Linked DNA regions of Drosophila melanogaster. The protein of the gene in region 4 interacts with the protein of the main gene of each other region in a pairwise test. Each region holds a gene or a part of one and is shown on either strand. Other genes may lie near its edges.

Evidence for each region.
Region 1: the proteins of row (region 4) and CG6418 interact in a two-hybrid assay, tested with the Drosophila melanogaster proteins (one large-scale study listed by BioGRID).
Region 2: the proteins of row (region 4) and TwdlB interact in a two-hybrid assay, tested with the Drosophila melanogaster proteins (one large-scale study listed by BioGRID).
Region 3: the proteins of row (region 4) and CG17211 interact in a two-hybrid assay, tested with the Drosophila melanogaster proteins (one large-scale study listed by BioGRID).

The regions. Positions count from the first base shown.
Region 1 is NT_037436.4:10,874,688-10,882,473, reverse strand, and holds CG6418 (uncharacterized protein), read left to right. Parts: upstream 1-3,436; 5' UTR 3,437-3,528; coding exon 3,529-5,904; 3' UTR 5,905-6,159; downstream 6,160-7,786. Other genes in the region: CG6409 (uncharacterized protein), read left to right, coding at 456-467, 612-1,682; Blos4 (biogenesis of lysosome-related organelles complex 1, subunit 4), read right to left, coding at 2,741-3,106, 3,161-3,304.
Region 2 is NT_033777.3:26,620,026-26,626,307, reverse strand, and holds TwdlB (TweedleB), read left to right. Parts: upstream 1-2,764; 5' UTR 2,765-2,811; coding exon 2,812-2,826; intron 2,827-2,894; coding exon 2,895-3,740; 3' UTR 3,741-3,857; downstream 3,858-6,282. Other genes in the region: TwdlO (TweedleO), read left to right, coding at 1-300; TwdlL (TweedleL), read left to right, coding at 706-720, 785-1,627; TwdlP (TweedleP), read left to right, coding at 4,984-5,646; TwdlM (TweedleM), read right to left, coding at 6,198-6,282.
Region 3 is NT_033779.5:12,111,101-12,118,839, reverse strand, and holds the start of CG17211 (uncharacterized protein), read right to left. Parts: upstream 4,481-7,739; 5' UTR 4,190-4,480; intron 1-4,189. Other genes in the region: Phae2 (phaedra 2), read right to left, coding at 6,895-7,692.
Region 4 is NT_033778.4:15,206,558-15,217,302, reverse strand, and holds the start of row (relative of woc), read left to right. Parts: upstream 1-3,668; 5' UTR 3,669-3,813; coding exon 3,814-4,696; intron 4,697-4,747; coding exon 4,748-5,577; intron 5,578-5,635; coding exon 5,636-5,726; coding exon of another isoform or gene 5,727-5,731; exon of another isoform or gene 5,732-6,058; intron 6,059-6,234; coding exon 6,235-7,058; intron 7,059-7,123; coding exon 7,124-7,491; intron 7,492-7,516; coding exon of another isoform or gene 7,517-9,310; intron 9,311-9,503; coding exon 9,504-10,353; coding exon of another isoform or gene 10,354-10,413; 3' UTR 10,414-10,745. Other genes in the region: mRpL41 (mitochondrial ribosomal protein L41), read left to right, coding at 1-239; CG11808 (uncharacterized protein), read right to left, coding at 281-361, 425-1,003; CG8093 (uncharacterized protein), read left to right, coding at 1,703-1,795, 1,868-2,971; Ir51b (ionotropic receptor 51b), read right to left, coding at 7,517-9,310.

The DNA.
Region 1 (7,786 bases), on a different chromosome or scaffold from region 4:
ATACTTAACTTAAGTTAGCCGAGCTTAACTTTTTTGCGAGCCAGTGCTAAATGGCCAGCAGATGTGGATGTGGATGAGTCCGTACTTGGCTGCGCTGCTGACTAAGCCTTGAGCCCATTTCGCCGGCCAAACCCGCTTTTATTTTCCATATTTTTATTCCATTTTGCCGCTTTTACGAGAAGCAGCGTTGCCGAGAAGCCGGCGCACTTGACGCCGATTTCCTCGGGTTATAATTAGCCAGACTTATCAATATCAACGTAGAAAAGCAGATTTACATTGTGAACGGGTTTCCGCGCACTTGGCGTGCATCTATTCGCAATTAGCACCGAATTACAAACTGGTTAACAGCCGCTGCCAACGGAGTGGAGAAGCCTGCGGTCGCCCATTTGGGTTTATAAAATGGGTCGCCACTTGGCTGAGATCAGCAGTTTGGGTCACATCTCCAAGCGGTCAGCATGAAGTCGGTTGTAAGTCAAGATCTCAGTTCTCTTGAAGATTATCCCTGAGTTTTCCATACAAGCTATTGTAATCGGTTAATTAATGAGGGCTATAAATTTTATCTTTTGAATATAAAATACGTTTTAATCTATTTGTGTTGCACATTTTCTTAGATTATTCTCTTAGCCCTGGTGGCTTTCTGCCACGCAGCACCTCTGGATGTCAAGGAGTCTACCTCTGAGGAGCTCTCTAGGCCCAGTCCCATCAGCCCCGATGTGCTCGTTGATCCCAAGCCCACCGCCAAGGTAGTCTTGCTGAAGGATGCTCCCGTCCTGAATCGCCAGAGGCGTAATGAACCCAAGAAGCCCGACAGCGTGGAGGCCCACGAACAGCTGCATCACTCGCAGCCGGCCGTTCCTATTCATGACCAGAAGCCTTCTCCGGCTGGGCCACAGGACCACAAGCGCAAGAGGGAAGCTCACCACGAGGAGGGTCACCATGGTGACGATGCAGTGCCCCAGAAGGAGGAAGTGAAGCAAGCTCCCGAGGACCATGACGCCAAGAAGGAAAAGAGAGAGGCTCACCATGAGGAGGGTCACCAAGACCATGAGGCTCCTCATAAGGAGGAAGTGAAGCAGGCCCCCGAAGCTCATGATGCCAAAAGGGAAAAGCGAGAGGCTCACCACGAGGAAGGCCACCATGGTGATGATGCAGCTCCACATAAGGAGGAAGTGAAGCAGGCTCCCGAAACACATGAGGACAAGAAGGAAAAGAGGGAAGCTCACCACGAGGAGGGCCACAAGGATGAGGCAGGTGATCGTCCTCAGGTGGAGGATCTTTCGCTGCCCCATGCCCTGCCCGCTGTGGCCCACACCGCCGAGCTGCCCAAGAAGCAGGAAAAGCGCGAGACTGTGGAGAAACCCGACAGCGTGAAGGCCCGTGAGTCGCTCCAGCACAATCCCCAGCGATCCCAGGAGCTCCACAAGGCCATCGAATCTCTGGCCGGTGGAAAGGCGCCGGAACAGCGTCACCAGCGCGATATTCCCGTGCCCACGCAAACCAAAGCCACCACCACCACCGATCTCCCATCCACCACCAAATCGGAGCTGGAAAGCACCACTCCGTCCATCCACAATCTCCACATCCCCCATCCCATTCCCGTGGCCGAGCTCTTCGAGAAGAACAAGCACGCGGATAAGTCCACTTCCAGTTCCGAGGAAAGCAAGGAGAAAGCTAAGGCCTAGGCTTCCTATGTTAAGAGTCGCTAATGGGACCATCACGAGATTTGTAGTCAGCGAAACGAACTAAAATAAACACAAATATTTACATGCTTATATAAAAAGACTGGGCGTTAATTATTTAATAAATATTTATGTGGATGGCTGTCTGTAAAAAGGCAGTTAATATAATAGGCAAAGTAAAAAGTGGTATCTACTGCATTTCAGGCATTAATTATGGGTAAAACTTCCAAGAATTAATTCAATTGTAATATAATTTAATATTACTTCAAGGGAAATATATGAAGCTTTAAATGTACTTCATATTTGTTAATAATACTTCTACACACGTTGGTAATAATAAATTTAAGAACCTTGTACCGATTTTAAACGCCTTCAAGCGCACTAAATTTTATGCGTTAAAGTAGCTTCCTGGTAACAAATTTAATTTGTGTTCTAGACAAAGGCGTACACAGAGAATTGTTATTATAGTAAAGCTGTATTGCAGTTTTTTTTAGAATTTTTCCACGTTATAGGCAGCAATTTAAATGCGAGACTCCACGGATTTCCCCGTATAAATTCGAGCAATTTAACTTCGCGCTTCCCGTAAAAAAAAACATTGAATATTTACGTAAGCACCTCTTCGCTAATTATTCACTAAATATTTATGGCATCCACGTAGCTAACTGCTATTTTATTCACTACTCTAATGTAAGTAATCAGTAATATAAATATAAACAGCCAGACTTAATGTAACAATAAACAACGTATTGTTTGCCTCGGTTTTTTCCATTCTATCTGTAATTTTTCGCTATAATTATAATGACAATTATAACAAGTAGGTGCTTAAATGTAATTACGAAGCTGAATTTAGATGTCTTTGTCTTAATTTGATAGTTATTGCATATTCAAAATGCATTAGAAATGCCTAATTTAAAAACAAAATGCAAATGAAGTTGCTTTTAGAAAGTTAATAAAATTACCTTTATGTTTTTACATCTGCAAAGATCCTCTAACTTCTAGTAACATCTCTATTTTAAGCTTAGTAAAACTAGGTTTCATCTAATTATTCCATATATGTTTAGTCATTTAGCTACGTAGTTCTCCTCCTCCGACTTTCCGAAGTAATCGTCGGATTTGTAGATCTCCACAGGCTGATATTCCTCCTCGACGAGATTGGATCGTGGCAGGGAGCTGAGTGTGCTGGTATCGCTGGCACTTAACTTGGCCTTCAGCGGCTTCAGGAGAAGTCCCTTGAGGCTGTAGTCTGTGACATGCAGCTCCTCCTCGGCTATATCCACAGATCTTTCCACTTCCGACAAATTGGCACTAACTACACCCACACATTGCTCCAGACCATCGATTCTGGCCTTCAGTTGCTCGAAACTGTCTGTGAAACCTAGTATAGAGCAGACGTTGTTGGCCATCATGCCATTGGATTCCGCACGCACCTAAAAGTCAATAAACTATTAGTGAAAACACTAACTTTAAAGAAAACAACTAACCGAAGCCAACAAAGTCTCAAATTCATCCAATCTGGCCAGCATATCCTCGATATTCGTGCACAGTGGATTTATCTCCTTCTCCAGGTCGGCGCTCTGCAGTATCTTTGCATAGTCCCGTGATACATTCTCAATATTCGATTGCATATTTCAGGCGTTGGTTTAATTAGCTGAATATTTGTAAATACAAGCAACAATTGTTTTCACTTTCGACCAGTGTGACCATAATTGAGGAGGGTAAAACTCCTATCAGCTAAAGTGTGACCCCAAAGCATTTGCCCGCTGTCCCGCTGCTGCTCATTCTGGTCATACTGTTTTCTATTGATTTTGGAAATTGTTAGCTTGCAGCATTTGCTTGGATTTGTAGCACAATGAGTGGATATCGAGGCATTGGCGGTGGGGGCTTCCCCTACCGCAAGCCAGCAAGTTCCGGCAACAACATGAACGCCGTACCGCCGCCCCCGATGCTGAATGCCCGTGGCTATTCTGGTTCCCGCGGAGGATTTGGAGGAGCAAGCCGTGGCGGTGTCACCGGGAGCACTACATCAACGTCCAAGCACGGCTACTCCACCTTGGACTCCATCAGCCAGTACACCAATGCCACCAATCTGGTTGGCAAAAGGAAGCACCACACGGACGATGACTATTTCGATGATGACGATGAGCCCCGGGAAAAGGAGATAGAACAAGCCTATATACCGGCACCAGGATCCCCGGGAGCTCCGCCAACGTCGGCCAAAAAGCAAGAGGATTCCGATTCGGATGAGGATCCCCTCGAGCAGTTCATGGCGGGCATCAACCAGCAGGTGGAGAAGGAGAAGCGTCAACAAGCACCTAAGCCGCCAACTCAGGCGGTGAGAGGTGACATCGATGACGAGGACGATGAGGAGAGCTACTATCGCTACATGAAGGAGAATCCCAATGCTGGACTTCGCGACGAGGGATCCGATCAGGAAATCGAATACGATGAGGATGGCAATCCCATAGCCCCACCGAAGAAAAAGGACATTGATCCTCTGCCGCCCATCTACCATTCCGAAATCGAGTACGAACCCTTCGAGAAGAACTTCTACACGCAGCATGACGACATAGCCGCCCTGGATGATGAGCAAGTCCGGGAATTAAGGCGCACACTTGGCGTAAAGGTCACTGGTCCATCACCACCCAAACCAGTCACGTCCTTCGGCCATTTCGGCTTTGATGAGCAACTCATCAAGGCCGTGAGGAAAGCGGAGTATACACAGCCCACACCCATCCAGGCACAAGCAGTGCCCACCGCCCTGTCCGGCAGAGACATCATTGGCATAGCCAAAACTGGTTCCGGTAAGACAGCAGCTTTCATCTGGCCGATGCTAATGCATGTGATGGATCAGAAACAGCTGAAGCCAGGCGACGGACCCATAGGACTTATCCTAGCACCTACACGCGAGCTTTCCCTGCAGATCTACAACGAGGCCAAGAAGTTTGGCAAGGTCTACAACCTGAACGTGGTCTGCTGCTACGGCGGAGGCTCCAAATGGGAGCAAAGTAAAGCTCTGGAACAGGGAGCGGAAATTATTGTGGCCACGCCAGGACGTATGATAGATATGGTCAAGATGAAGGCCACCAATCTGAGGAGGGTCACTTTCCTAGTGCTTGACGAGGCCGACCGTATGTTCCACATGGGCTTTGAGCCCCAGGTTCGCTCCATCTGCAACCACGTGCGTCCAGATCGTCAATGCCTAATGTTTTCGGCCACCTTTAAGAAGCGAATTGAACGTCTGGCCAGAGATGTGCTTTCCGATCCCGTGAGAATAGTGCAGGGAGACCTGAACGAGGCCAATCAGGACATTACACAGTCTGTGTACGTCTTCCCCAATCCCCTGCAGAAATGGAATTGGCTGCTGTGCCATCTGGTGAAGTTCCTTTCCGAAGGAAGTGTCCTGATCTTTGTGACTAAAAAAGTAGATGCTGAAACGGTGTCTAACAATCTTTTAATTAAGGAGTACAATTGTCTTTTACTCCACGGCGATATGGACCAAGCGGACAGAAACAAGGTCATCACTCAGTTTAAGAGAAAAGAGTGCGATATTCTAGTGGCCACCGACGTGGCAGCCAGAGGATTGGATATACCCCATATTAGGAATGTGGTAAACTACGACACAGCCAGGGACATTGAAACCCACACGCACAGAATTGGAAGAACGGGCAGAGCCGGTGAAAAGGGTAATGCATACACTCTAGTCACCGATAAGGACAAGGAGTTCGCCGGACATCTGGTGCGTAACTTGGAGGGAGCCGATCAGCTGGTGCCCGACGATCTGATGGAGCTGGCCATGAAGAGTTCCTGGTTCCGCAGCTCACGCTTCAAGCAGGGCAAAGGCAAGAGACCAACAAATACCCACACAGGATTGGGCTATCGGGAGAAAGGAAATGGAGGTGGTGGCTATGGTTCGGCTGGTGGCTCGGAGTCCACTGCGAGTGTGTCTGCCCACAGTCCTTCCGACGGACCCTCTAGCAAAGCCTTTTCGAGCTCGGGACCAGCCACAGATCGCTATACAGCAATGAGGGAGGCATTCCGATCCCAGTATAACAATCAGTTCCGTGCGTCCAGCGATCGCACTTGGGAGAAAACTCTGCCGGAGTCGGGAGTTTTCGCTGCGCCAATGGCACCGCCCTCATCATCAACACAGGGTGCTTCCGCCTCATCGGCCAACAACAGCAGCAACCAGGATGCCAAAAGAGCCAAGAAGAGTCGCTGGAATTGAACGACGAGCCCAATAAACTGATGCTGCTATTTGGTTTATTTCTCTTCATATTATTTAATGTGTATTTGCTTTTGTTCCATCGTTTAAAATTACAACTTATGAACTAAATTTAAACATATTATATATAATCAGATATATACCATGTTCATTCATAAAGATTACGTTAGTTAAATACTCGTATGTACAACTCTCTTCCTTCGCAGCCAGTTCCAGCGAACGATCCCACAGATCCAAATAAAAATATTCATTAATTGTAATCATGGTTATGTGTATTTTATTTTGAATAAAATCACATTTGCGCATCCCAACTGCCTATCGATATTGTTAATCGTTAATCGTGTCATTTTAATTTTAATTTTTCCATTTCATTAAGCGAGAGAAGAAATCGAACTGGAATATCGAAATCTTGAAGCTAAATTGTTCGTTTAATCATTATGAAATATTGTTTTACAATGAAACCACTACGAATTTTGTTTCTTTTTCGCTTTTGGATATACGTGTTTATATTATAATTAAATTACGTGTGTTTTTGATAACATTGAGAAGAGATTTGAGATTCATTTAACTACCACATCGAGGCGATTTCGCGTAAATTTTCGACTTTTTCGATTTATTCGATTTTTTTTTCGATTTGTTTCGTTTTGTTAAGCGCTGAACGGGGAATAAGCCGGGGCAAAGCTTAAAAATTTCGCTATATTTGAATATCATATCAGATACGTACATGAATATATATATATATTCCGTTATATATAGTTCGCGTATATACTCTATTCAAAGACTCGTCGGTGTGTGGGTGTTATACATATATATATGTATATATATATATATTTGTATATAAAAATTGGTCCATGTTAACCACATCGTACGAAACAAATCGGAAAATCAGGAGAAAATCCAAAAAGAAAACGGGGGAAAATTGTGTGGGAAAATAAGACGCAAACGAAAATTATAACACTTTAATTTTAGTTTTGAAATACTTTTTGTTTTCTTCATTTATTATTATCATTATTTAAATGTATTAATTAGCTTTTGTGTGTTTTTTTTTGGGGGGAGGGGTTCTGTTTTTTGTTGTTGCCGCATATATAACATACATATCCAATATATACAATATATTTTAGATCTAGCATTAAATTTGATTTACACTTTTAATAGTTTGTTTCTCTCTTCCACTAATTATGCAGTTTCGCTTTGTCACTTAATTGTACACATTTACTTTCTGTTCGTTATAGTTAATATTATCTTAATATTTCCTCAGCTGGTCTGTTAAATTTCGTTTATCGTTTACCAAGCTAAATCATTTACTTTTAATATGTAGATAGGCTTTAAAAAATAATTAAAATTATGCAACAATTAAAATGTAAATGTTTTCATTTTATAAATGTAATAAAATTGTTGGGATTTCACTTGTATGTATTTTGTGTTTCTCGATTTTCGTTTTTGTTTTGTTTTTCTTTGCTCATGTTTTGTTGTTGCGCTGATTTAATAGATTGTTTTTTTTTTTTTTAATACTTTGTAAATGAACAAGAAACATTTTGCAACAAAAGTCTGGGATAAGGCAAAACAAAAAATGTAATTTTCAAATAAACGAACAAAGGACTTTCTGCTGCATTTTAAATTCGTAAATTTCATTGAAGGAATTTTCATGCTCTCAACTGAATTGGTTTCTTTTTTTTTTAATTTTTTATATGGTATAATGACTGTTTGTTAATTTTTACGCTTTAGTGTGCATTTTTTTTGTAGTTTTCATGGGTTTTTCTCAGTTAGCTTTAAATTAAATGCCAATTAATTTAATTAATTAATTTTTAAATCACATTTCATTGTTTTTCAACACGGGCAAATTCAAATTTCCGCTTCGATTTCTCATCCAGTGTGTTGTTTGTAA
Region 2 (6,282 bases), on a different chromosome or scaffold from region 4:
GATCTGGCCCAGAAATTCAATGCCGCCCGCCAGAACTCCAACCAGCGTCCTGAGGTGCACTTCGTCAAGTACAGGACTCCCGAGGATGCGGCCAATGCCCAGCGTGCCATCCAGTCGCAGTACGATAACCTGGGAGGATCCAGCCAGTCCATCAACGGAGGAGTTGCCAACGCCATCAACTTCGCCTCCGCTGCCCCCGTGGTTCCCGCTCGTCGTGGCCCCAACTACTCCCCACCAGCCGCCGCCACGAGCAACTCCTACCTGCCCGCCAACATCCTGCGTCGCCTGCGCATCCGTTAAGGACCGAACGAAAACCGACAGTTGTTAAATGTGTTGTATAAATGTAATTGAATAAAAAACGAAAATCGATAAAAACAAATACGCTTAGATTTATATATCTATTTTTAATCTAGATCTTCGAAGTTTCTGACTTTGTCATCGGCCATTGCAATTTGTTTGTTTTTTAATAGCTTTTCCTTATAATAACATTTATGCAAAGCTGAATTGCTCTGCGAGCCCGAACAAAAGCCGTTCGCTGCCTACTTTGTAGGCGGACAAAACATTTAGCAGCATCAGCGCTTTGTCTTCGAAAAACTGCGCCGCCAGCTTCGAAGTTGGGTTAGTATATATAGTTACCGCCGCCGTGGTCATAGGCAGAAGCAATTTGTGCTCCGAACCAAGAGAACCTCAAACCCAAAACTAAAGATGCGCGCCTTCATCGTAAGTGGTGTAGCCAGGACTTAAGACGAATTCACAACTAACGGATAACCCTTGAATCCTGTAGGTAATGTGCCTGGTGGCAGTCGCCTGCGCCGATAAGCTCGGCTACAACTACCAGCCCGTGGGACACTCCAGCTCCGGACTGTCCTTTGCTCCTGGAAGTGGCAGCATTGGAGGTGGATCCATTGGAGGTGGTTCGATTGGAGGAGGCTCCATTGGAGGAGGATCCATTGGAGGAGGCCTCATTGGTGGTGGCTCTATCGGAGGCGGTTCCATTGGAGGTGGTTCCCTTGGTGGTTCCATCGGTGGTGGCTCTATTGATTCCGGTCTTGGCGGTCTTGGTGGACTCGGTGGTCTAGGAGGTGGCGACGCTCTGGCCGCTCCAGTCTCCTACAACGCCCCCGCTCCCGCTGCTGAGCTCCAGAAGGAGTTCTTCACCTACTCCGCCAACGAGCAGGACTTCGATGAGCCACAAGAACTGGAGCGTGTTGCTGGATCCGTAAACAAGGGACTGCGCGTTGTCTTCATCAAGGGACCCGAGAACCGTGGTCTGGAGAACGCTGCCCTAGCCCTCGCCAAGCAGGCTGCCCAGCAGGAGACCGCCATCTATGTCCTGAACAAGCAGGCCGATATTGGAGATCTTGCCCAGAAACTGAACGCCATCCGCAACAACAATAACAACAAGCCCGAGGTGCACTTCGTCAAGTACCGCACTCCCGAGGATGCTGCCAACGCCCAGCGCGCCATCCAGTCGCAGTACGACCAATTGGGAGGATCCTCTCAGGCCCACAACGGTGGTGTGGCACCCGCCCTGAACTTCGCCTCCGCTGGTCCCGTCCAGAAGGCTAATGCTCAGATCCCTGAGAACGCTTACCTGCCCACTTCCATCTTCCGTCGTCGTTTGTAAATATTTTAACGACTTCGAGATGAAGGCGTTGACTGTTCTTGTTAAATCTTATTGTTGAAATCTATTGATAAATAATATACAAAAATCTGAATACAAACATTCTATGATATTTTATATTGGATGGTGGTGTAGTAAACAATAGTGTATACCTTCCGATGACAACATGAGTGGAGTTACAAGTTGGGCTTTTAGAAAATTATTTCAGTCTTTGGTGAGATTTTTCGACCTGTTTTTATTGCACAAAAAGTTTGGTAATGACTTTTAATTTGAATTTATTCTTAAAAAGGTGCAACGCTATTAACTTAATACAAAGCAAAAGACCTTTAAAACTCATTAAGAATTTGGTAAGCTATATTACCCAAGGCAGCTTCCCGATGACCTTGACGTTTAATATTTGTCATAACCAAAATATTATCCTACGAAGTACTGGGAAAAGAATAAAATAAAATATTTCCGCATATTTTAAATGTAGGCAAAATGTTTTTACGACAAAAAAGTTAAATTAAATATAAACATATCGTTTTCACCACTCTCAAGTTAAATTTTTTATTTCATTAGTAATATATGCGAAAATAAAGAATCAATGAACTGGGGGCGGCATTTCAAACATCTCATTAGACGACTTGCTAAATTTAGCGCTTGCATCATGTCCATAAATCAGAACTAAACAGATGTGTCGAAAACGATTATAATGACTAAACGATTGTCATTCAGTCGGAAAAACCAAGTGCAGATGTCCTACATAAAACAAGCTTTTAGCCTTGCCGAAGAATTTGTCAAAAAAATGTATTTTATATAATACTCGTACCTAATTATGACCCATCTGCATGTTAAACTCATTCCGACGTGCTCGCGACATATTAATTTTATAATTCAATATGAATTCTTGTAAACTATTGGACGAAACTCGAAATATTTGAATAACCCACGACGGCCAGACTCTGCCCATTGAAACGCAACCAAAAAATTCCACACCGAACATTAAAAAAAACAGAGGAAGCAAAAACCTTTGTAGGCGGCAAAACACAGTGGCTTCAAAGAAATCTCCGTGCAGCAGACGCCGCGGCGGTATCTTTGTCTTTATCAGCCTCCAAGATGGATTTGTATAAATAATAAAGATCGCTCCTAGCCAGAGACACAAGCAACTCATACCTCAAAGCAAAAGAACCAGCAATCTGCTTAAGATGCGCGCATTCATTGTAAGTAGCGCGGTTAAGGATTCAAAGGATTATACGCCAGGATAACACTTCTCTTTTCATGCCTCCAGGTCCTGTGTTTGGTGGCAGTCACCTGCGCCGATAAGCTCGGCTACAACTACCAGCCCGTTGGCCACTCCAGCTCCGGACTGTCCTTCGCTCCTGGCAGCGGCTCTATCAGTGGTGGATCTATTGGAGGAGGCTCCATCGGAGGAGGTTCTATTGGAGGAGGCTCTATTGGAGGAGGCCTCATTGGTGGTGGCTCTATCGGAGGAGGAAGCATCGGAGGTGGATCCCTTGGTGGTTCCATCGGTGGTGGCTCCATCGATTCCGGTCTTGGCGGTCTTGGTGGACTCGGTGGTCTAGGAGGTGGCGACGCTCTGGCCGCTCCAGTCTCCTACAACGCCCCCGCTCCCGCTGCTGAGCTCCAGAAGGAATTCTTCACCTACTCCGCCAACGAGCAGGACTTCGATGAGCCACAAGAACTGGAGCGTGTTGCTGGATCCGTAAACAAGGGACTGCGCGTTGTCTTCATCAAGGGACCCGAGAACCGTGGTCTGGAGAACGCTGCCCTGGCCCTCGCCAAGCAGGCTGCCCAGCAGGAGACCGCCATCTATGTCCTGAACAAGCAGGCTGATATTGGAGATCTTGCCCAGAAACTGAACGCCATCCGCAACAACAACAACAACAAGCCCGAGGTGCACTTCGTCAAGTACCGCACTCCCGAGGATGCTGCCAACGCCCAGCGCGCCATCCAGGGTCAGTACGACCAGCTGGGAGGATCCTCTCAGGCTCATGATGGTGGTGTTGCACCCGCCCTGAACTTCGCCTCCGCTGGACCCGTCCAGAAGGCTAACGCCCAGATCCCCGACAACGCCTACCTGCCCACTTCTGTGTTCCGTCGTCTGCGTTTCTAGGAAGGCTACATCTTGGACTCCATTAACTTAAGCAAATCTCGACTGAAGAACTCATTCTTCCTGTTACACGTTGTTGACTAATGCATAATTACACCAATAAATTTGAAATTTAAATACGAAAATTTAAACAAAGGTCTACCTTATGTGTTTTATAGAGTGAGATTTTTATTGCGGCTTGGCCATAGTAGCTAATGGTGCATTAAGTCCGCCTTGTTTGGCTTGATTGTTTGCGGATGGGTTAAGTATAAAAAGTGCCCTTCAAACTATAAATATCTCGAATTGACGACATCAAGATCAGGAAAGGCAGTTCGGAGCAGGTTTCCTTTATGAGTTTAAGCCCTCGTCGAATCATATTCACCTAGACTTTCCATACAAATCAATGGACTAATTATCTGACATAGCCAACTCGCATGCCGCCAAATTAATTGACTACAAGATTAGATCCACCCACTTGGCCAGCGGGAAGCATTAATACCGGACTCCCGGCCAACGAGGAACTGGTTCTTTCCCGACGACAGCTCAAGGTCGCGAAGATGCCAACAACTGTTAGATGACCTGGTTTCCGAGGCCCGTCGTGTGTCACGTACAATTAGAAAGGAATCTCAAGTGCAACCCACATACGAAGGCAATGAAGATTTATGCCCAATCGAAACCTGATTAGCCATAAAAACAAAGTCTAATCATTAATTTTATTAAGCTGACGATCACTTTTTTGTTGAAATCATTAACAAATAAGCGGTTCTGTATACATATTCAAGCAAATATAACAAAACAATCCGATTGAAACAGCCAAGAGATCGGTTATTTTTCTTTTATTTGTGCATAAATTATAAGCCAATTATGGGTGAATCACGATAGTTCGGAAAACGACTGGACTCGCAATCGGATCTTAGCTCGGACTCGGACTTCGATTCGGAATCTCATCTCAGTCGGCGGCACGATTGAAGCTGTCTTTTGCCCACAACAATGTGTTAAATGTGTTAAGAGCGAAATTATGTTAGCAGATTAACAGCATTCCGAAAACCCGATGGCCAATAGCCACTGGCCATTCGCGAGTCACGATTCGTGAGCGGAGATCGATGATCGCCGTGTTCCGCCAGAGGGACCCCAAAGTGACTAGACGGCTCAATTGACTAGATTTTCTAGTCTAATTTTAAACGTCGTCGCGTTGGCGGTATAAAAGGTAGATAATGAATGCTATATTATTCATTCGTCTAGAATATCTCGTAGGCATCGGGTCAATATGCGTGCCCTCATTATTCTAAGCATTGTGGCAGCGGCAAGTGCCGGTAGCTTGTCCGGATATAATTACGGACAAGGTGCGACAACCAGTATTGGGGGCAGTGGTGTATCCCCAGTCCCTGCACTGGCGGGACCAGTTAGCTATAGTGCCGCTCCCCAGGCGTCAGTTCACAAGGAGTTCTACAGCTTCTATGCCAACGATGACGACTTCGAGGATAAGGCTGCTCTCCAGAGGGCTCTTGCCTCGGTCAAGAAGAACATTCGCGTCATCTTCATCAAGTCGCCGGAGAACCGTGGCTACGAGAATGCCGTTTTGGCCCTGGCTAAACAGGCGGCCCAGCAGCAGACTGCCATATATGTGCTGCACAAACAGACTGATATCAACGAGCTGGCCCAGAAATTCAATGCCGTGCGCCAGAATGCCAACAAGAAGCCCGAGGTGCACTTCGTCAAGTACAGGACACCTGAGGATGCTGCCAATGCCCAGCGGGCAATCCAATCGCAGTACGATCAACTCGGCGGCTCCAGCCAGTCCATCAACGGTGGCGTGGCTAATGCCATCAACTTTGCATCCCAGGGAGCTGCTCCAGCACGCGTTACTCCTCAACAGGTGCCCCAGAGCAACTACCTACCCGCCAACATCCTGAGTCGCCTGCGTCACTAGAAAATCGATTGTTAAACGTTGTTTTCGAATAAAAGTTATCTAATTTGGTTATGTAAATTATTGTATTTTCATTTGGTTAATTCCTTTAAAAATTGACGAAAGCAACATAAGTATGCAACAGTTTTCAAAATAAATTGTATACCTATTTATAGCAGCGATAATCGAATAAAAACAGAAAGAAAGAAGAAAGAAGAAATAAAAATACTTGTTCAAAACCCAAGATCTCAGCAGCCATAAACTGGTATTAAATTTTGAATATGGTTAAAGTATAAACTAGTTCCTAAGAAATATATAAGTGCTTCTACTTATGTGCGCTTTCAAAGTTTGCAAGAAAATATTTCGCTGCAAATAAATCCGAACTTGCGAAGTTTCGTTCCCAATGAACTCAGCCTGCAAAGTTTTTTGGTTTTTACAAATGCACTACAACAAGTCAAATTGGTTTTAAAATTTAAGAATTGAATTTATTTAAGCATTAGTCAACAAAAACTACGATTTAATATCAGTCAAAAATCGCTGGCGTTTTCGATTCCGAAAGGAGTGAAACGAGCGACTTAGACGCGACGGAAGACCGAAGATGGCAGGTAGGAGTTGTCGGGGCTCTGGGCGGCGGCCTGACGCACTGGAGCGGCGGAAGCG
Region 3 (7,739 bases), on a different chromosome or scaffold from region 4:
GCTCCATTGCCTTGCATTACTTTTCCCACAATTTAAAGATGCGACTCCTTGGGCGAATTCTAAATTCAATTGCTAGAGATGGCACTTATTTGCGGAGTTATAAGTGGTTTCATATCTTTGAAATATATATACCAATTAGTAAAATCGAAATTTGAAAGAAATACCAAGCTTCGTGCTTTAAATTCGTATAGACCACATCTTTAAGATGTGTCCCAGTTTTTGAAGTCATGGCAAGTGCATATATTGTGTGGTTTAGAAAACTCCATAAGTGCCGCGAAACATGATCATAATTCCATCACACGCGCATCTCTGTGGGCCAAAGCCAACGACCGGCCAGAGTTTGTGGCAAACTTGTTCTGACTTTTGTTACAATTGGCGATTCCTTTCTTTTTTTTTTATTCAGCTTTCTAGCGCTGCAAGACAATGCACCATAAAACTGCAATGGAGTTGTGATCGCTGTTGTTTTTTTTTCTTTTTCCTGGCTGCTTCTCACTCCACCCATTTCCATTTCAGTTGCCATGCAAATTTCTGACTCGTGTTGTTTTTCCGTCTCGAATGTTTTCCTCTTTCCGGGCACATTTGTCAAGGTGTCTTGTAAACAAGGAAACCGGGCAGCCCAAGAAAATCCAGAGACTCCAAAAGAATCCAAAAGAACCCCAAAAGAACCCAGAGCCAAGCACCGTTAGATCAGATGCAGACATAGTGCTTATATAACGCATTGCGCCAGCCAATTGTGTTTTTTTTTTTTATTGGTTAACTCTTTAGGCCATAAATGGTAGTGACAAAAGTCGGAATTTATGGCCCGCTGACAGCTCTGATAAATAACCCAAGGCCCGACTTTGGCTTAGAGTGGCCCAGGGTTTGGTTTTTGTATTTTGTACTTCAACTGGCGTTGGAATGGGGCGTGCTGCAGGTGGGGAAAGCACCTAAGAGAGCCATAAAATGTTTTATCTTCGACTCTGTTCTTGCAGCACGTCGCCGTGAGGAGTCCGAAGTTAATTAGCAGGGAATAGATGGCTTTTAAAATTCCTCCTCCTGTGGCAATTAATCTGACAATGCGTTACAAAAAATGTGCCGACAGAAGTCAAGGAAGCACATGGGTTTACGTTTTATTGAAGCATAGAACAAAGGTCATAAAAAGGAAATTTATATCTCCCCATTAAATTGTATTAATATCTATGGGAAAAATGACACCTAAGTGTCCAAATAAAATACATTTATATATAAGCTAGGTACTAAAATGTTTGGTTACATAAACAACAATCTAATAGATTAATTACGAAGCCCATATTTTGCATAATATAAACCTCATATATGGACCAGCAACACCCTTTTATAGGGGTAGGTATATCTAATTTCCATAAGTCTGCTTATTTTCCGTGTATTTCGCTGATGTTATTCGGATAGTGGCGACACAAAAGAAAGAGATTCTCCTCATATGGCCAGGCTAAGTTTGGTTTGGTTTTTGCTTTTTCGCTGCCTTCTTTATACGTGCACTCTTTTTCAGCTGCTTGCCTCACCGTTGCAATATCAGATTACGTGCGGGCCAGCTTTTGTTGTTCTTGGCCGGGTAATGGGGCCTCTCCTTAAGTGCCCAGTGCTATTCGGCATATCAGATGTTGCTAATGTGGCCGCGCTAACTGTGGGCTGGACTACAGCGCTCCACTTGAAAGGAGAGTTTAGATACCAGATACCAGATACAAGATACTTTTTTTTTCGACCTTGAGATGGCGGTCGAAGCTCAGCTCCCGGCCCTGATAATCGAATTTGTGGCACACCACACTTTGGTCAGATTATCGAGATGACCAAAGGGCAGTCAGGAAGTTCTTTTGATACCTTAAAGATATCAAGTGGCTTTGTAAGCTCATTAACTCGACTAGGCTCTACAAATTTCTGGTAAGATTATTATTTTTTACAACTAATTGCGTAAGTGAATAAAATGAATTTATTATTCTACGATTTTTGACAAACATTTTTAAAATTTTCTTCAGTTTCTCAAAGTTGAGACTTACATAGAATATAGGTCATTTATGCACCATATAATTGTCGTGTATTTCGACTTCCAGTTAAAGACATTATTATATAGCCTAATGAAGCTTTCTTCCCGTCTTCGTACCCAAGCTCGTAGATTTCCTTTAGCTCCCTGAGTTCTTTCACTAACATTTTCAATTGCAGGCAATTAGCAAATTCTCTTTTGGCTCGCCTTAATGGCCGTCTAACGTAAAATGTCGTCTTACACACGAGTTTTATAGCTTCCGCTTTGCATTATCAAATATTATTGGTGTTGTTCTACCGCTTCTTATAGCTTCTTCTTTCTACCTTCTTTGCGATTGCATGTCGTCACGTCAAGCTCCAAGAAGTGGCAAGAAGAAGCAGTAGAATCGGCGCAGCAGCTGGATGGAAGAGAAAAAAACCCTTGGCTATCTAATGATGATCATTAGGAGCGGTACTGTAATCACACAGAAGCCAAACACAAACTCAAACTCCCAGCTCAACCTTAAGCCAGTTCTCCTTCTTCTAGCGCAGCTGCTTCTTCTTGCTTCTTTTTGTCAACATAAAACGGTAATTTCTTAAACAAAAAAGTAAGAACAACATCACAGTCAGTATCTGAGTAGCAAAAGATTACTCTGAACATTTATACACAGGAAACAAAGACGAGTATATAATAATGACAAGGTAGATCTTAGAAATCCACATTTTTTCTTACGTAATGTATTTTGAAAGATTTATTTGTATTAAGCCGAAAGATAGATTTATTTTACTAAGTATTACATTTAATAAATAATAATAATATCTTATTTTATATTCCCATTTTAGGATGGACAAACTTTGCCCAAAACTTGTACGACGGTGATTTTTTTCTAAGTTATATTTATCTTTTATTTGTTGACCCTCCTTTTTTGTGCAGTGTAATTAAAGCCAGTGCAACCTACATTCTCTCCCTTGATCTCCACACTCTCGGTCTTCTCCCTTCTGGTTTCCCCGGTTTTCCAATTCCGAGTGCGTTTTTTGCGGCTGTGCGACCATTGTAACGGCTTTGATTTGTCTTAGGAAGTCGCCTAAGTTTTTTTTTTGTCGGCGTTACCTTGGGTTCGTCTTGCCCCAATTGAACCTCCCCGCTTTTCTCACAGTGTGCCCCAGTGATGCGACTTTTTATGTTTGCCTGCCGCTGCTGGCATCTTAACAGTTAAATGCTTAGTTTACATCATTAGCATGCCGTTTCCAGATATTTTCTTTTCTTTTGGCTAATAAATAAGCAATTTGGTGGCTGCTTCTTTTACTGTCATCGACTATTTCTTTAATTGGTCTGCGCAAGCTGGTAAGCATTATTTAATTAGCATAGATTTGCTGGGAATCGGAATAACTTGATTAACATTATACAGTTGGGAATTTCATTTCTAATTCAATTAAATAAATACACCATTTACTTTTTATTACCAGAAAGTTCGTTGCCTCAGTCTTTCGTTTGTATTGAATAAAATATGAATTTTCATGTTCTCTTTACGCTTTGATAAATACGCAAAGAAGTGCAGAAATCTTTGATAATATTATTAGAGTCTTCCAAGAAACGAATTAAAATGTATATGTTGTTTTACCGCACTCATTACACCTAGATCAACACACAGGAATCGTTGCCTGTGGAGTCAGTTCGTTGCCTGAGTCTTTCGATTGTGTGTGATTTTGCTTTTGTCTCTGCGGCCGCAAGAACGAGTGCACTGAAGCATGGTCTTTTGGCTCCGGCTGTAGGTTTTTGTGTGTGTCTACTAGTATTTATTTATCTGGCCACCAAGTCGGTGGGTTCTATTAACCATGTAAACAATACCGTTAACACGACACGACGCGGAAAATGCTTTTGGCAGCGGGAGCGAAACAGATAAATGAAATGTGCCGCAAGAATTTGCCAAGTTGGTGGCGGCAAAGAGGGACGTGCCAACTGCATATACCACACCCCCCCCCCCTACGGTAATGCATCACAGAATTGAACAACAAGAACAGCTACGTAGAAAAAAAAAGCGTGAAAAAGAGGCGACAGGAAAAACGGTTTGAGGAAAACACTTATTAAATTTTAGCATGCCCAAAGTGTGGAAAGAGCTGGCGGCGAGGCCACAAAGAACCGCAACAACGACCCCAAGAACGAACCAAGAATTCCCAATGATGCATTCCTGGAGTTTTCCGCAAGTTCACATACCTGTCCAGTCTGAGGTTTTCCTATATCCACTCTAACTGTGGGGCACAAAAACAAAAAAGCATTGAATATAACTCCACAGCTTAGTTTATTATTGATTTGTTTGTTTGCTTATGCTTGCACTTCACCACTGCCACTCAAGGGTTCGATCATCGTTGACCACAAGAAGTGTCTTCTAGTCTTTGAGTCTTCGAAGAAGAGTCATTTATTGTGTTTTTTTTTTATTATTATTTTTATATCCACCTTGCGCGTATGGTTTTCTCGTTCTGAACGCGTCGCGTGCTGTTTTCAAACTGAGGCTCAGCAACAAGTTCGAGTTGCTTTTAAGAAAAGCATTCGGAAGAAAGTTGTCTGCATACTGAATTCTTTTTCTGTTCGAGCGCGCCAAAGATTCTCGTTCGAAAGCTGCAGCGAAAGAGATATATTCTCTCGAGAGAAAGAGAGCATCTGCTAAGAGAGTCTTCTCCATTCCACCGAAGGGAGATTAATTGCTGGTTGTACTGCCGATAAGCATGAAATGTCGCTTGTCCGCAGTTTGTTGGCCAATTAAAAATTAGATTTCGCTTTAGATTTTGTCCATAAGATTGGCCAAAGTTCGCGGAACGATTGCAAAGATAAAAGTTCGGACGGGCTATTTTTTTGAAAAATAAAAACCTTCAATAGTTTATTTAAAGAGTTGAATGAACTAGAAAGTGACAAGCTGCCTTCATTGACACCACACATAATTGTCCGTGACATGTGATTAAAATAATGGTGTAACTTTTGCGGGGCTTTACTTTCAACTTCATGTACACAAAATTATACCTAGCATAATGCAAATATGAATATTATTTGTTAAGACAAGAATTTATTTGTTCACACATATTTTGTATATTTTACACTATTTACTATTTTTTCAAACACATTAGTCACTTTATTTGAATCAACAATGCAATCTATACCTCTTATTTATGGCCCAATCATATCTAACTCATTTCAATAATCCGTTCTTCCCTTTACCAATTATAAAACCATTCGCAGTCTTTCCGACCGCAGAATCCCGACATGAAAAAATATAATAATATATACTTGCGTGTGTATATACACAAAAGACCATAAAGCACAGACATTCATTCCGATGCCAAATGCCGACGCCAATAAAGCCCCCAAGTAAATAATTCCAGGCATTACTCCATTACTCATAATGGCGCAGCCAAATGTCGCGGTCGCATCCTCATCCTCATCCTCGTCGGCGGAGGAACGCAGCAAACGATTGAGGGAGCAGGGATCTGGAGACTGGCGACGGAGGAGCAGCCGCCCATGTTGTTCGCCAGGTTGCATAAATCTGTTCGATTCATAACACAAAGATTGCGAAGGAAGCACAGTGATCTGGCCTTGCCTCAACTTTGCTCAGATGAATTTCTTTTGTTCAGAACGGAGATGACATCGTGAATGCAACATAAGTTTGTATTCACTTTTATAAACTAAAAACTCTTTTTAAACTTATACTAAACAAATTTTTTGAGTTTTAAAACTTGTTCTTCATAATATGCTGCAAATGATCGCAATTGATTACTCTCTATAAGAAATGCAACTTCCACTTTTTCGAAATTCGGGTGGACTCACTGCGGCATCTCTGGTTCCCGCATGGTGACTCCTTTATCAGCCTTGTCTTCATCGATCGCGTCGGAGATTTTGTCCGTCTGATGGAGGCGGGGGTCCGTCGGTGGGTCTGTTCTGGTGGACTCCCCTGTCCATTCCCGTTGAGTCGTCGCTTTGTCTTGACTCCTTGGCCAGGCAGCTTGACTGGGACTTGGAGGCGTGTTTGGTTGGGGGAATGGAAACAGAATAATATAGAATGAAATATTTATCGCCATTAGAGCCTGATTAGCTGCGGGCGTGTTCTGGCCATCGTTCTTTGGGCCACGTTCCGCGCTCTTGGCCGCCTTGCTTGCGAAGCTCTTTTGGAGGCACTTAATAAGCTTTGCTGGTGTGATTGTGATGGGAAATTGATATGTCCATTCAATTATGTACTGGTCGTGTCAATAAACTGATTGCGATCGTGTCCAGCAACTTACCGAGCAATTAGTTTCCCAATAAGAACATTCCGATCAATATGATTGATAAAAACAGCGATTGAAGAGGAGTGTCTGGGATGAAATGAAATCTGGACGTGCTGACACCAAAAGTGAGACGGATTCAAAAGCAAAACTCATTCCAAGTGCTAAGTTCCCTGGGGAGTATAGTGCTCAGAATAGTTGTGCAATAGAAAAATGGAAAGTTAATCCGGATATTTCTTGGTAAAGATAACATCTTGTTGACATTACCCTTTTTTGGTTTATATTCAGTTTTTTATAACAAAAGAAAAGATAAAGCTTATTTTTATATCTTTATTTTTGCTACTTCTTGGAAAGCTTTATCTAGTTAAAATTGGGTTCACATATAAGTTGGATATCTAAAACATTTATAGTCTTATCTGATTTACTTTGTTATAAAATATATATATACATTGGTTACCATCTTCTTAAACTAGCTCTATTTATTTATTAGATAAGATAATTCGACATATAACAAAATGTATATAAATGCTTTTAAGTTCTTTCAAAGATACATTACAATCAATTAATGCATGATTTTAAAGACTCTAAAAGTTGTCATTTATAATAAGCACGTGATACTGCAATCTCATAAGTATTTCTTTATTCAGATACTATCTTATACTCCAGAATTCATTTCTTTTGGTTGGCTGCTATCCATGTTATGAACGAGGAGACCTGGACATACACCGACGGAGAGTTGGGCTGACCACATGGAAGTTTTCCCCAAGACACGATGCCGATTAGAACGTTTCCCTGGACCAGCGGACCACCGGAGTCCGAGGTGCAAAAGCTGGTGCCGCCGGTGAGAGGACCTGTGCACAGGTTCGTGGTGTGCACATCCTGACCCTTAGAGCCAAGTGCCGCAGCGCAGGAGTCGAGGCTTATGATGGGTATGTTCTTCGCCTCCTGGAGGGTTTTCGGATATGAGGGGCTATTCGTTTTGCTAGTACTGCCCCAGCCAAAGAGGTCAGCCTTTCCAGTTGGCCTCACGCCGGACGATGGCAGCTTCACCGGAGCCACTGCAGCGGTCCAAGTGAAGGCGGTGGGCGTGTAAATCAATCCGATGTCATAGGGCACAGTTCCGCCGGTATAAAGATCATTGATCACATAGTGGGTGATTTGCCTCTTCTGTGTTGTGCTCGCTGTTCCGGCCACCGCAATGCTTCCAGCCACCAGGGTGCTTCCAAGTACTTGATTCCTATTGGCCAGGCAGTGAGCAGCCGTTACCAGCCAGTTGGAATTAATGATGTTAGCGGCGCAATAGTGAGTTCCTCCGTACTGCATGGACACTATATACGGAGCACTATTGGCCGCCGCCGCTTTTCCACCCACAACGCGTCCTTCGGGTTGGTCCAAGGCTAATCCAGATCCTTGGGAAACGCACACCGCCAGCAGGAGGATAGTGGCCAGGTGGCGATGGCGCCACATGGTTTGTTGTCCATTCGCAATCATGGTTTTCACAGAACTGTTTACAT
Region 4 (10,745 bases):
CCGATTTGACCGGTTGTAAGCTAAAGCCATACGTGTCCTATAAGGCGCCGGACGTCGTCCAGTCGGAGTTCACCAGCTTGGATCTCTTCAACGCCGTCTACTCGCAGAAGATTATCGAAGATTTCAAGGCGGGAAAACTGCAGAAGGACGGCAGCGCCAAGGAGCCCTCGGTCAATGAGCAACTGACTCCGGAGGAGGCCTTGCAACGCGCTCGAAAGACGGGCAGCGATATATTCTAGACATAGGTTTATTGTTTCTTAAATACAGAGTCTAAACTCGACTACTCCTGCATGTACTTTTGGCGGTAATTGTACAGCTTGCGCAGCCACTTCTCGGCCTTCATATCCGGGTCGCCCAGGAACTGTCGGAATTGAAAATCAGATACTATTAGCATGTATATTCGAGCACCAGGTAACCCACTCACGTTCGGATGGAATATTACATCTTCGTTTCGGACTGCAGTGGCTGGCTTGCTGGCGACTGTGACCGTTTCATTGTTCAGATCTATGATCACCTTATCGGATGTCTCCTTTGAATCCCTGGAGCTAAAAAATGACTCCGGCTTGAAGGTGTCCTCGTCTATAGTCTCGAGTGCCTTTTGCACCTTGGTGTCGAACAGATCGATGGCCTTCACGGGAGCAGCTGCGGGTGTGGTTGCGGATCGGGAATTGCTTTCCGAACTTGGACCCCTGGTTTTCCTCTGCGAAATAGACCGCGATTTGTGATGATCCCTGGTTCTGCTTTTGCTGTGCGTGCTGCGGGAACTACTCCTGCTGCTGGAGGAGCTGCGCGAGGTGCTGCGACTGCTACTGCGACTCCTTCTCGAGTACTTTTTCGACTTCTTGGCCTTTTTCTTCTTCGGTTTTGAAACCTGCCGGCTGCTCCTGCTGGGCGACTTTGATCTGTGTCGTCTGTCGCGGTCTCGCTCTCTGTCTCTTTCTCGGTCCCGATCTCTATCCCTCTCTCTGTCGCGATCTCTGTCACGGCGGTCGCGATCCCTCATAATGTGTCCTTTATCGGCAGTTAATTATTTATTTAGTTTTTTATTTATGTTATATTTCTTGTGTGCCGGACGTCGCTCATTCCCAAAATACAAAATCGCCTGTCAAGAAAACGCAACATTTTTACGAATATTCCAGCTGGCCACACTGATTGTGTCAACATGTTTACCGCCTATCGATTTTTGGACTTATCGACCGATTTTAATTTAAACTAATAGGCGCGAATTTTAATTATAGTAATCACTTTAAAATATTTAACTTAGAACTATGTGTAATATTAAATCAATTAATTCTTTTTAACATATTCATTTAATATACTACATTTATTGAGTTTTGTCCTTACCGGCTTAGCATGTCAGTTTACAGACTGATGTGGGGTCTTTTAATGTCCAGTTTGCCGTACGCCCAAAGCAGGAAATACTAATTGCTGATTAACTCTTAGCAATTATACCTAATCAGCAGTTATCAAGATTATAGGAGACCTTATCGCTGATGACCACTAGCCATTCGTTAAATCAACTGGGATCGAAATTCCCACACGATCTATCAGTCTTGGCGAATCAAACCATTTTGCAGGCAAAAATAAACAGTCATAAATTAGGCAGCCAAATCTAGGAATCCTTATCAAGTTCCTGGGGGGCATATAAAAGGCACGGGCGGCCAAGTCAGCGGTCAAAGCACCTGCACCTGTGGAATACAAAATGTTGGTGGTTCAGCTAATTGCGGTTTTTTTAAGTCTGGGCTTGGCTAATGCCCTGCCTGCGGATACGGGGCGCGCCAGTTCGGTGACAACTGTAAGTTTTAGGATGCCATGTTCTTTGGCACCCAAAAGTCCTTACTAACCACTATATTGCTCTACTTTCCAGGTCACCATTGTTAGGGGACACGGTTACGAAATCGAGGAGCACGAGGTGCAGACCTCGGATGGTTACATCCTCACAATGCACCGCATACCGTACTCGAAGAACACTGGGTACGATGGGCCACGCCCTGTTGTCTTCCTTATGCACGGTCTGTTGTGTTCCTCCTCGGATTGGGTTCTTGCTGGACCTCACAGTGGGCTGGCATACCTGCTGTCCGAAGCGGGCTACGATGTGTGGATGGGTAATGCCAGAGGCAACACCTACTCCAAAAGACACGCCAGCAAGTCGCCGCTGCTGCAGCCCTTCTGGAATTTTGAGTGGCACGATATCGGAATCTATGATCTGCCCGCTATGATGGATTACGTCCTTTACTGGACAAATGTGACTCAACTTACGTATGTGGGTCACTCTCAAGGAACCACATCCTTTTTTGTGCTCAACTCTATGATTCCGCGCTTCAAGAGTCGCATTCGATCTGCTCATTTGCTCGCTCCTGTGGCCTGGATGGAGCATATGGAGAGTCCTTTGGCCACGGTCGGTGGACCACTGCTTGGTCAGCCCAATGCCTTCGTCGAGCTCTTCGGCAGCGCCGAATTTTTGCCAAATACACAGCTAATGAACCTGTTCGGGGCTCTCCTCTGCAGCGATGAGGCCATTTCACAGTTCATGTGCACCAACACCCTATTCCTGCTGGGCGGCTGGAACTCGCCATATATCAACGAGACCCTGCTCCCAGATATTATGGCCACCACTCCGGCGGGATGCTCAGTAAATCAGATCTTCCACTACCTGCAGGAGTACAATTCCGGATACTTCCGGCAATTCGACTACGGATCTACGCGCAACAAGAAGGAGTACAGCAGCAAGACCCCGCCGGAGTACGATGTGGAGGGCATCGATGTGCCCACCTATCTCTATTACTCTGACAACGACTACTTTGCTAGTCTGATTGACGTGGATCGCCTTAGGTATACCATGAACCCGAGCGCCCTGAAAAGCGCATATCGCATGCCGGAAGAAAAGTGGAATCATATCGACTTTCTGTGGGGACTGAATATTAAAGAAATTCTTTATGATCGGGTAATTAACGACATAAATAATGCATAAATGTGCGCTGGAAATAAAAAAAAGCGACATACGTTTTTGTGACATTGTGATAAAAAAAGTTCCATTGGTCACCACTTCAACGGGGGCTTTTGGTAGCTAATGAACCGATAATATACGAGTGGTCATAAATTCAAATTGATTTGGTGACACTTCACGGTGACTGAACAACGCAAAACGAACTAGCCTGCTAACATTTTTTGCCTTATAAGTGCACCTGCTAAATACAATGGATTATATTAAGTGTAATATAATAAAATATAAGCTGTACTAGATATTTTTATTTTATTTGCTGATTGTGTACTGTTGAGAAATATTTTGCACTCTTAGTTTGAATTGCGCGCCAACTTTCAGGGATGAAGCATCTTGTAAAATCATCGATAGACTTTCAGCGTTTTTTGTGGTAGTCGATAGTCCGCAACATACTGATCATAGTAAAAAATATCTGTAATGTATATTTAGGTGGGAAAATATATTCATGGCATTTATTTATACGTTAAATCAATTCTTGTTATGATATTCCTTAATTGTAAAAAAATTTTATTCTTGTTCTTATTAGCAGAATATAAAATTGACCAGTTTACGTTAACACTTTTTTTTAAATACAAAAATTTGATTTATATTTGTTTATATTTTAACGAACCGATGTGTGGTGCACCACTGTGCGTGTGTCACGACAATACCCAAGCCGATATTATCGATGTTTTCATCGATGTTATTTACTCGAGCAGGTACATCCACGCAAGGAAAGCTAATTCGAGCGAAAAAAAATTTACTTAGCTCTTAATATTTTTAAAAACAACGCCCTCGCTGGGCCAGTGGTCGGTTAACTAGTTAGCTGTAAGATGACGCGCGTAACGAGAAGTGAAATCTCCCTGGACATGGAGTTCTGGGTGGAGGAGCTGTCGCCGGCACAATTGGCGTACTACGAGAAGATTACTAACGAGCACAACGCGGTGAAGGGTGCACTAAAGAACGCGGTTAGCGCCAACGAGGGCAAGGAGCTGTTTAACGGCCAGGTGTTCCAGGCCTACTCCTTTAAGGGCAAAGTGCTGCAGGAGCTCAAGGAGGCTACGCTGCCCAAAAAACCACCCAAGCCGACGGACTCTCCCTCAACACCCGCCGCCCAAAGCGGTGGCACAGGGCGGGGTCGTGGCCGCCCACCACGACAACCATCCAACATCGCCTACCTGGAGTCCTCCGATGAGGGAGACGACGATATGCCGCTGGCCAAGCGACTGGCGCTGTCTGCAGGCAAAAAAGCAGTGGCCGTGGCCAATGCATCTTCCTCGTTCACCCCGAAATCCAGTAAGAAGGCTGCATCCGCTGCTAGTGGAGGATCTTCTTCACCGGTACCTAAGAGCAGTGGAAAACTATTTAAGGAATCCAAACCGGACATCGAATCGCCGCCGAAGAACTACCGCCCCGCCGAGGTTAATTCGGTGGGCGGTCTGGTGGTGGGCAGCACCGACGAAAGCAAGGATAGCAAAGACGGCAAGGATGGCAAGGATAACAAGATGCAAGGAAAGACATATCCATCTCTGGTGGTGCTAGCAAAGCCTTTTCTCAAGATCAAAGACATGGCTGCCACCCGCAGCAAGCTGGACTCGAAGGTTAAGCTGGTGCTCATGCTTACGCCCAATAAATTCTGCGAGTGGCTGCTCCAGGAGGGATTGCTACGCGCTCAACAGCATTGCATAAACCATCGCAACAACGAGCTCAAATTGGGTAAGAGATATATGATCAACTGAATTCGTTTATTAATGTATTTATATTTAGGAATTTATTCGGATGTGACCAAGTTTCCCTACACTGGTGGCTATGTGTGGATCAGCGAATGTTGCCCCTACCGCTTCGTCTCCGTGTTCAACAATTCCATTTTCGAAGGAGCTCAGCACCCACCCACATTCCTGTTGAAGTTAATTTACCACTGGGCTTGCCAGACCAGTATTCAAAATGTGGTGCAGTGGGTTAAGGTGGACAGTGTTTATATCAAAGGAATCTACACCTGGCTTAGAGCCATTTGCACTTTGGCAGTGCATCAAAAATGCAAGAAGCTGGGCGGTCCCGGCAAGTTTGTGGAGGTGGGTGTTATTTCCCTAGGAACCACATCCCAAGATGGCTCCCAGCGACAAGTGAAAGTTGAGGTTCTGGGCGTCTATGATTATGCGGAGAAGTCCATCCGACTGCGGGCTGTAGAGCCAATCACCGATGGTGATCGTAACTACAAAAAGCGATTCCAGGCCATTCTTGAGCCACTGTCGCGCTGGGTGCACAAGGACAGCACCATTTGTATAGACTTGACTGTCGACAAGATCACCCTCTTCAGCATGGGATTCAAAAATATTGTCCAAGCAGCTGCCACTGACAACACAGCCAAGCACAACAACTCAGCGGTAATGGAATATTTGCGACGGATTGTGCCGCGCATGTTCCAGAACACCCTATCGTTGCTATCTCGCCAGATGATTCAACAATTCCTCGACGAGTTGGTATGGCGAGAGTCCTTTGGTACATATGCCTTGCAGGCATTCAACAATATCATAATACACATTGCCGAGCAGACAAGAGTAACCACCAATGAGACAATCACTCAGCGTCTGTATCAGGTAAGCAGAATCGAAAAATTTTTATTAGCGATTAGCCTTTAATAGCTCTTTCGTTTAGGTGGCAACCAATCCGTTCAAGGACTGGAGTATTTTGCCGGCCAACTACAAGGAGACACCTGCCAATGCTGCTCCCAAGCGCCTCAAGAAACGTTAGTACTATCGTACTTTTGTAGCAAGTTTTTATTTAGGCCGTGAATAGAATAGTGCGTTATGATAATCTGTTAAGTGCCTGCGTTTCTCACTCCAAACTGAAATGTTTTCGTTTTGTTTGATTAGTTTTGGTTAATCGAACCCAACAGCTGAGCTCAGGTCCACTTATTGTGTTATGTGAATTGTGAATTTATATAATCTATATAGGTGAAATGTATCATTGATATATTCACATATGTACAATTTAAGCATTACTTCCTGACATTTCTCGTGTCTAATTATTTTAAAACAACCCCATTAGAGAAACCATAAATAAACTTGCAAGAAATTTAATAACTGTTTTTATTTGATTTCCTTTTTCATTTGGAGTGATAAAACGCAAGAAAGAATTTACTAATTAAATTGATTGGACCCATTCCACCAGATTCAACAAAAATGGACAAATATGTAATGTTTAAGTTTGTATGTTGAGATTACATCTTTTTAAGTTAACATCTTCAATTGCAGCTATCAACGATGCTGACTACGTTGTTTCTAACAAGATTCCCAAGAAGGAAAAGGATCGTGATATAGCATCATCTGGAGTCAAGCGCGGCCGTCCACCGAATGCATTAGGCACCCCACCACCTCAATTGCCAATTAAAAAGGGTCCAGGTCGGCCGCCGGGCAGTACCAACCAGACAAAAGGAGACAGAGCAACGACCTCGTCATCTAAATCACTGTCTAAATCTCTGATAGCTAAAGGCCTTGGTAAAAAACCGAAAGAAAAAGATGAAAAGATTCCAATGGTCATTAAGAAAGAAGAGGATGATCTAAGGGGCTTGGAGGAGCTGTACTATGGAATAAGTGATGGTACGGACGAGTACCACGAGATCTTTCCATATAGCACACCCCGTACGGTTCACAACGAACTGGCCAAGACCGTGGAGTGTCCAATCTGCCTGAACGGCGACTCCTTCGATTCCAATGAGAAACTCCAAACGCATTTAGTATCGCATATTTCGCCAGAGGGTAAGCAGCACCAGTTCCAGTGCCTTTTTTGCTTGGAGAAGCATCCCACCGAGTCGGTTTTGGCCAAACACAACCAGATCATGCATCCAACTGAGACAAAAACGGAGGGTTCACCCTCGTACTACTGCCTAATATGCCAGCAGCGTCACAATTCCCTGCATCTGTTGACGGCTCATTTGCAGAAGGTCCACAGCACCCTGGAACTACCATATTGGTGTCACTCCTGCGGCTATCGATCATCTTCGCACCGCGATTTGGTCAGGCATTTTTATGACGACCACAAGCATCAAAACTTTTTACAGTGCCCCTATTGCTTGGATGTAAGTAGCTGTCATGGTAAAGTAATCTTGTAAAGTTCTCTCTATTAAAAACTGATTCTTTTTAGATTTTCTACTTCTCAAAGCTTGGCGTCGTTAACCAGCTGCGCATAGAACATTACTTCATGCATTTGGACGAGCACATCAACAAGCGTGATCCCTCGCTGCGCTGCCAGAAATGCTCGCTATCCTTCCTCGAGAAGGGGGATCTAAAGCAGCACGCAGTGCAGCATCATGTGAGCATGACTAAGACCAATAGACCGGTGCGTCTCTTACTCAACAACTCGATGTTGATACCACCGCCAAAGATTCGCACCCATCACCGCGAGCAGCCGCCGTTCTCCACCTACAAGCGGCCAGTATTCTTTGCTTTTCTGGAGGGTAAGACCTGTGCCGAGTGCAACACCGATTTCGCCAGCGAGGAGACACATTACACGTAAGTTCAAAAATATTTTATTTACCTAAGCAATAAATCGCCATGGATAAAGGTGCCAGTATTCACAAGAGAAAACCAGAGCTGACAGTATCCAACCAATTCCCAAGACACACCAGCCCAGTCTCAAAGTATCCACATCGATACTTTGATAGCCCAGGACGTTATCTACAAACCTAACGTATCCAGCACGCATGGCATCGTTAAAGTCGGAAACTACCCAGTGATTCAGCAGTCCAGTATCCTGAATCTTCAATATGAAATGGTTAAGGGATGTCTCCAAGTGGCTGTCAACGCGCATTGGATAGCCAATATGTGGAGATCCCAAGCAAGCAGATGAAAAGCGAAAAATCGGCTTAAAGGCATATTGCTGTTGCATGGCAAAAAACTGCCAACGTTCTTCTGTAAAAGGGTACGCGAAGCTGCGATTAAAACTCAGCAAAGCGGACACCTGTTCACTGGCATTTACAGGCACCAAAAGCCGAGATACTTTTTCCACTAATCGAGGTTCAACATGGCGCAGAAATGTGTTAATTTCATACTCCTTGACGAGCACCCTTTGCTGCTGGTGGACAAGCTGATCCATGCTATTTACTTGCTCGCCCACTACTATGGTTGTGAAGAAGCTGTCCAACTCAATGTTGTACCAACTTGTGGACATGAATCCCAGGACTGAAAGTTGTAGGAAAATAATCAAATGGCGCCATGTTGGTCTGTAAATTGTTATAGGGGGGCTGATAAAAAGTATCTTGCTTATCGCATCTAGAAAATTCAATCCCAAGCGTTGCGGCCAAGAACTTTTATTGAGTTTCGGGCTTATGCAATAGAGAATTCCAGTGATGTAGAAAACTGCGAATAACAGAATATACCAGCTGTACAATTGGAATGGTCGCAATAGGTACATGTGCCTTGGAATCTCATTTCTCATGGGCACAATCAAGCAGTTTGGATATATTAGTAAGGGGTAACTCTTGGTTGCTGTTGGGGGTGTGAAAACGTACGGGTGCAAAGAGATTTCCAATTGACCGTCTATAATCAACTGCACAATGTGGTTCATATTCACACTAGTTGTTGGGTCTAGATTCTCATCTGGATTGGTCAAACGCAGCGAGGCATTATAGTGATCCAAATATTCCACGAATGTGCGATATGCGTATCCCAGCACCTTTCTGCTCTTCGTTAATGGATCGTGCACATGAAACACTCTCGGAATATCATTTTCCGCCGGAGTGGATACTACATATCCATGGAAATTCCTTGCTGCATGTGGAAATAGCGGTTCCGTATGAATATCGAGTTTGAAAAAACGCATCGCCGGATACGGAGTGTAGGAATAAAGCTGATCCCTTTGCAGGACAAGAACGTTGAGGAATTGATATTGCCATAAGGCGTTGAATATTGATTTAATAGCACCTTGCGAGCCACTTCTTTGATTACGCAGAATGATGATCAATCGAATGCGACGGAGTTTTCGTAGATTTCTATCCAGAGTAAGCCACATGATATCATGTTTATCATGACAAAAGAACAAAGCTATGCCATTGTATCTAGTGATTTTAAAATGACCAAGGGGTCTTATATGTTCAGGTTGGAGAAATAAATTCATTGTCAAGCTAGTAACTCCCATTGTTTGATGGAGCCAAATAATCAAGTCGTTGAGGTCGCCTCCTTGCGTATTATGTCCGACGAATATTGGTGTATTTATCCACGGCTCCCGTGTAGAGATGAGACTTAGAACGGATTTCAACAATGTCACATTGTAAGCAGCGTTTGTTAGCGCCAGTAATAAAATAACGACCAATAAGGTTAACACTTTGCACATGGTGGTTGATTCAATTGTGACAAGCCAGAACCGCGGGTTGAGGTTTATAAGTCAGCAGCTAATTGATTTAATAGTGGCTGATTGATCTCTTGGGGAAAACTCATTAGAATGTGTGAGGCAATAATTTGTAATAAAAGGTTTTGGCGCTCTACGCACTCATTTAATCACTTTTTTATATTAAATCTTTTCCCAGTGGTTGGCTACACTGCGTTAAGTGCAATTATCAGACATGTTGCGAGCGAGCGCAATTCCGTCATGGCGTGGAATGTAATGGAAACTTTGTGGACGCCATGGAAGTGAATATGCCACAGGAGATGCACTGCATCTGCGGCTTTGCCACCGGCAACGGCAACAAGATGGCTCAGCACTTGGCAAATTGTGGACTTAGCACCTGCTACCCAAGTTTGGAGGCTGCCAGTGAGAATGCCGTCAAGCGTAATATGCTGGACATGTTGGGCCTGGTTCGACGCGATGGAGAAACCTCTGGTGAAGGTGCAGATATTAGCGAGACTGCTGATGATGTCGCGGATCAGAGCTCCGACATGTTGCCGCCGCAGGAGGACCATCATTTGCAGCAACACCATCAACAGGTGGGACATCAGCAACAGATGCAGGGACAGCCGAATGAACCGCAAGCGGAACTTCAACAGGAATACTTGTCGGCGCCAGTTGAGCATGAGCCCGTGCAGAATATGCCAGTACATCAGAGCATGCCGGTGCAGCAGACCGGTCCAATACAATTTGGAGAAATGGAGGCGGCCCCAGTTTTGCTGGATACCCAGCAGCAGGTACAACCCACCCCGGATTATGCTCAAGTTTCGGTGGTGCAACAGCACCAACAGCAACAGCCCTACGGACTAAGCAACTACGGCCAAAGCTCTTTAGCCACGGATATCGACATGCCACTGATTGGAGAGCTCTCTGAGCCAAATGCTCCACCCACGCCCCAGTTCCTGGGCGAGGTGCACACGCCCATGTTCGATGCAGTCGCTGCCGCCGAGCAGCAGCACTATCACGCCCAGCACCATCACCATCCGCAATGATACAAGCCCCACGGAAAGCTCAAATCACGCGACTATACCCTTCACTGGCAGAACTATTAGTTAAAGTTCATTCATATTCATCGCACATTGGCCATATCCCGAATTCCGTATCACCAATACGAAGGCAAATAAATTGTATAGCACCTATTTATGAATTGTATATTGGCCCCTTTTAAAATTAATGAAACATCATAAATGAAATCTCAGTTGCACAAGGGATTTGAATGCTGGATGTGAGTTGGGATTTTCAAAAGATCCGTTTTGAAAGGCGTAATCAATCCTCTGCAATGGGATCTTTATCTTTACATCTAAAATATCTTTCAATTCATTTGAATATTGGAACCTTATTAATTGTAAATGACAAACAATTTAAATTGTAAATGACAAACAAT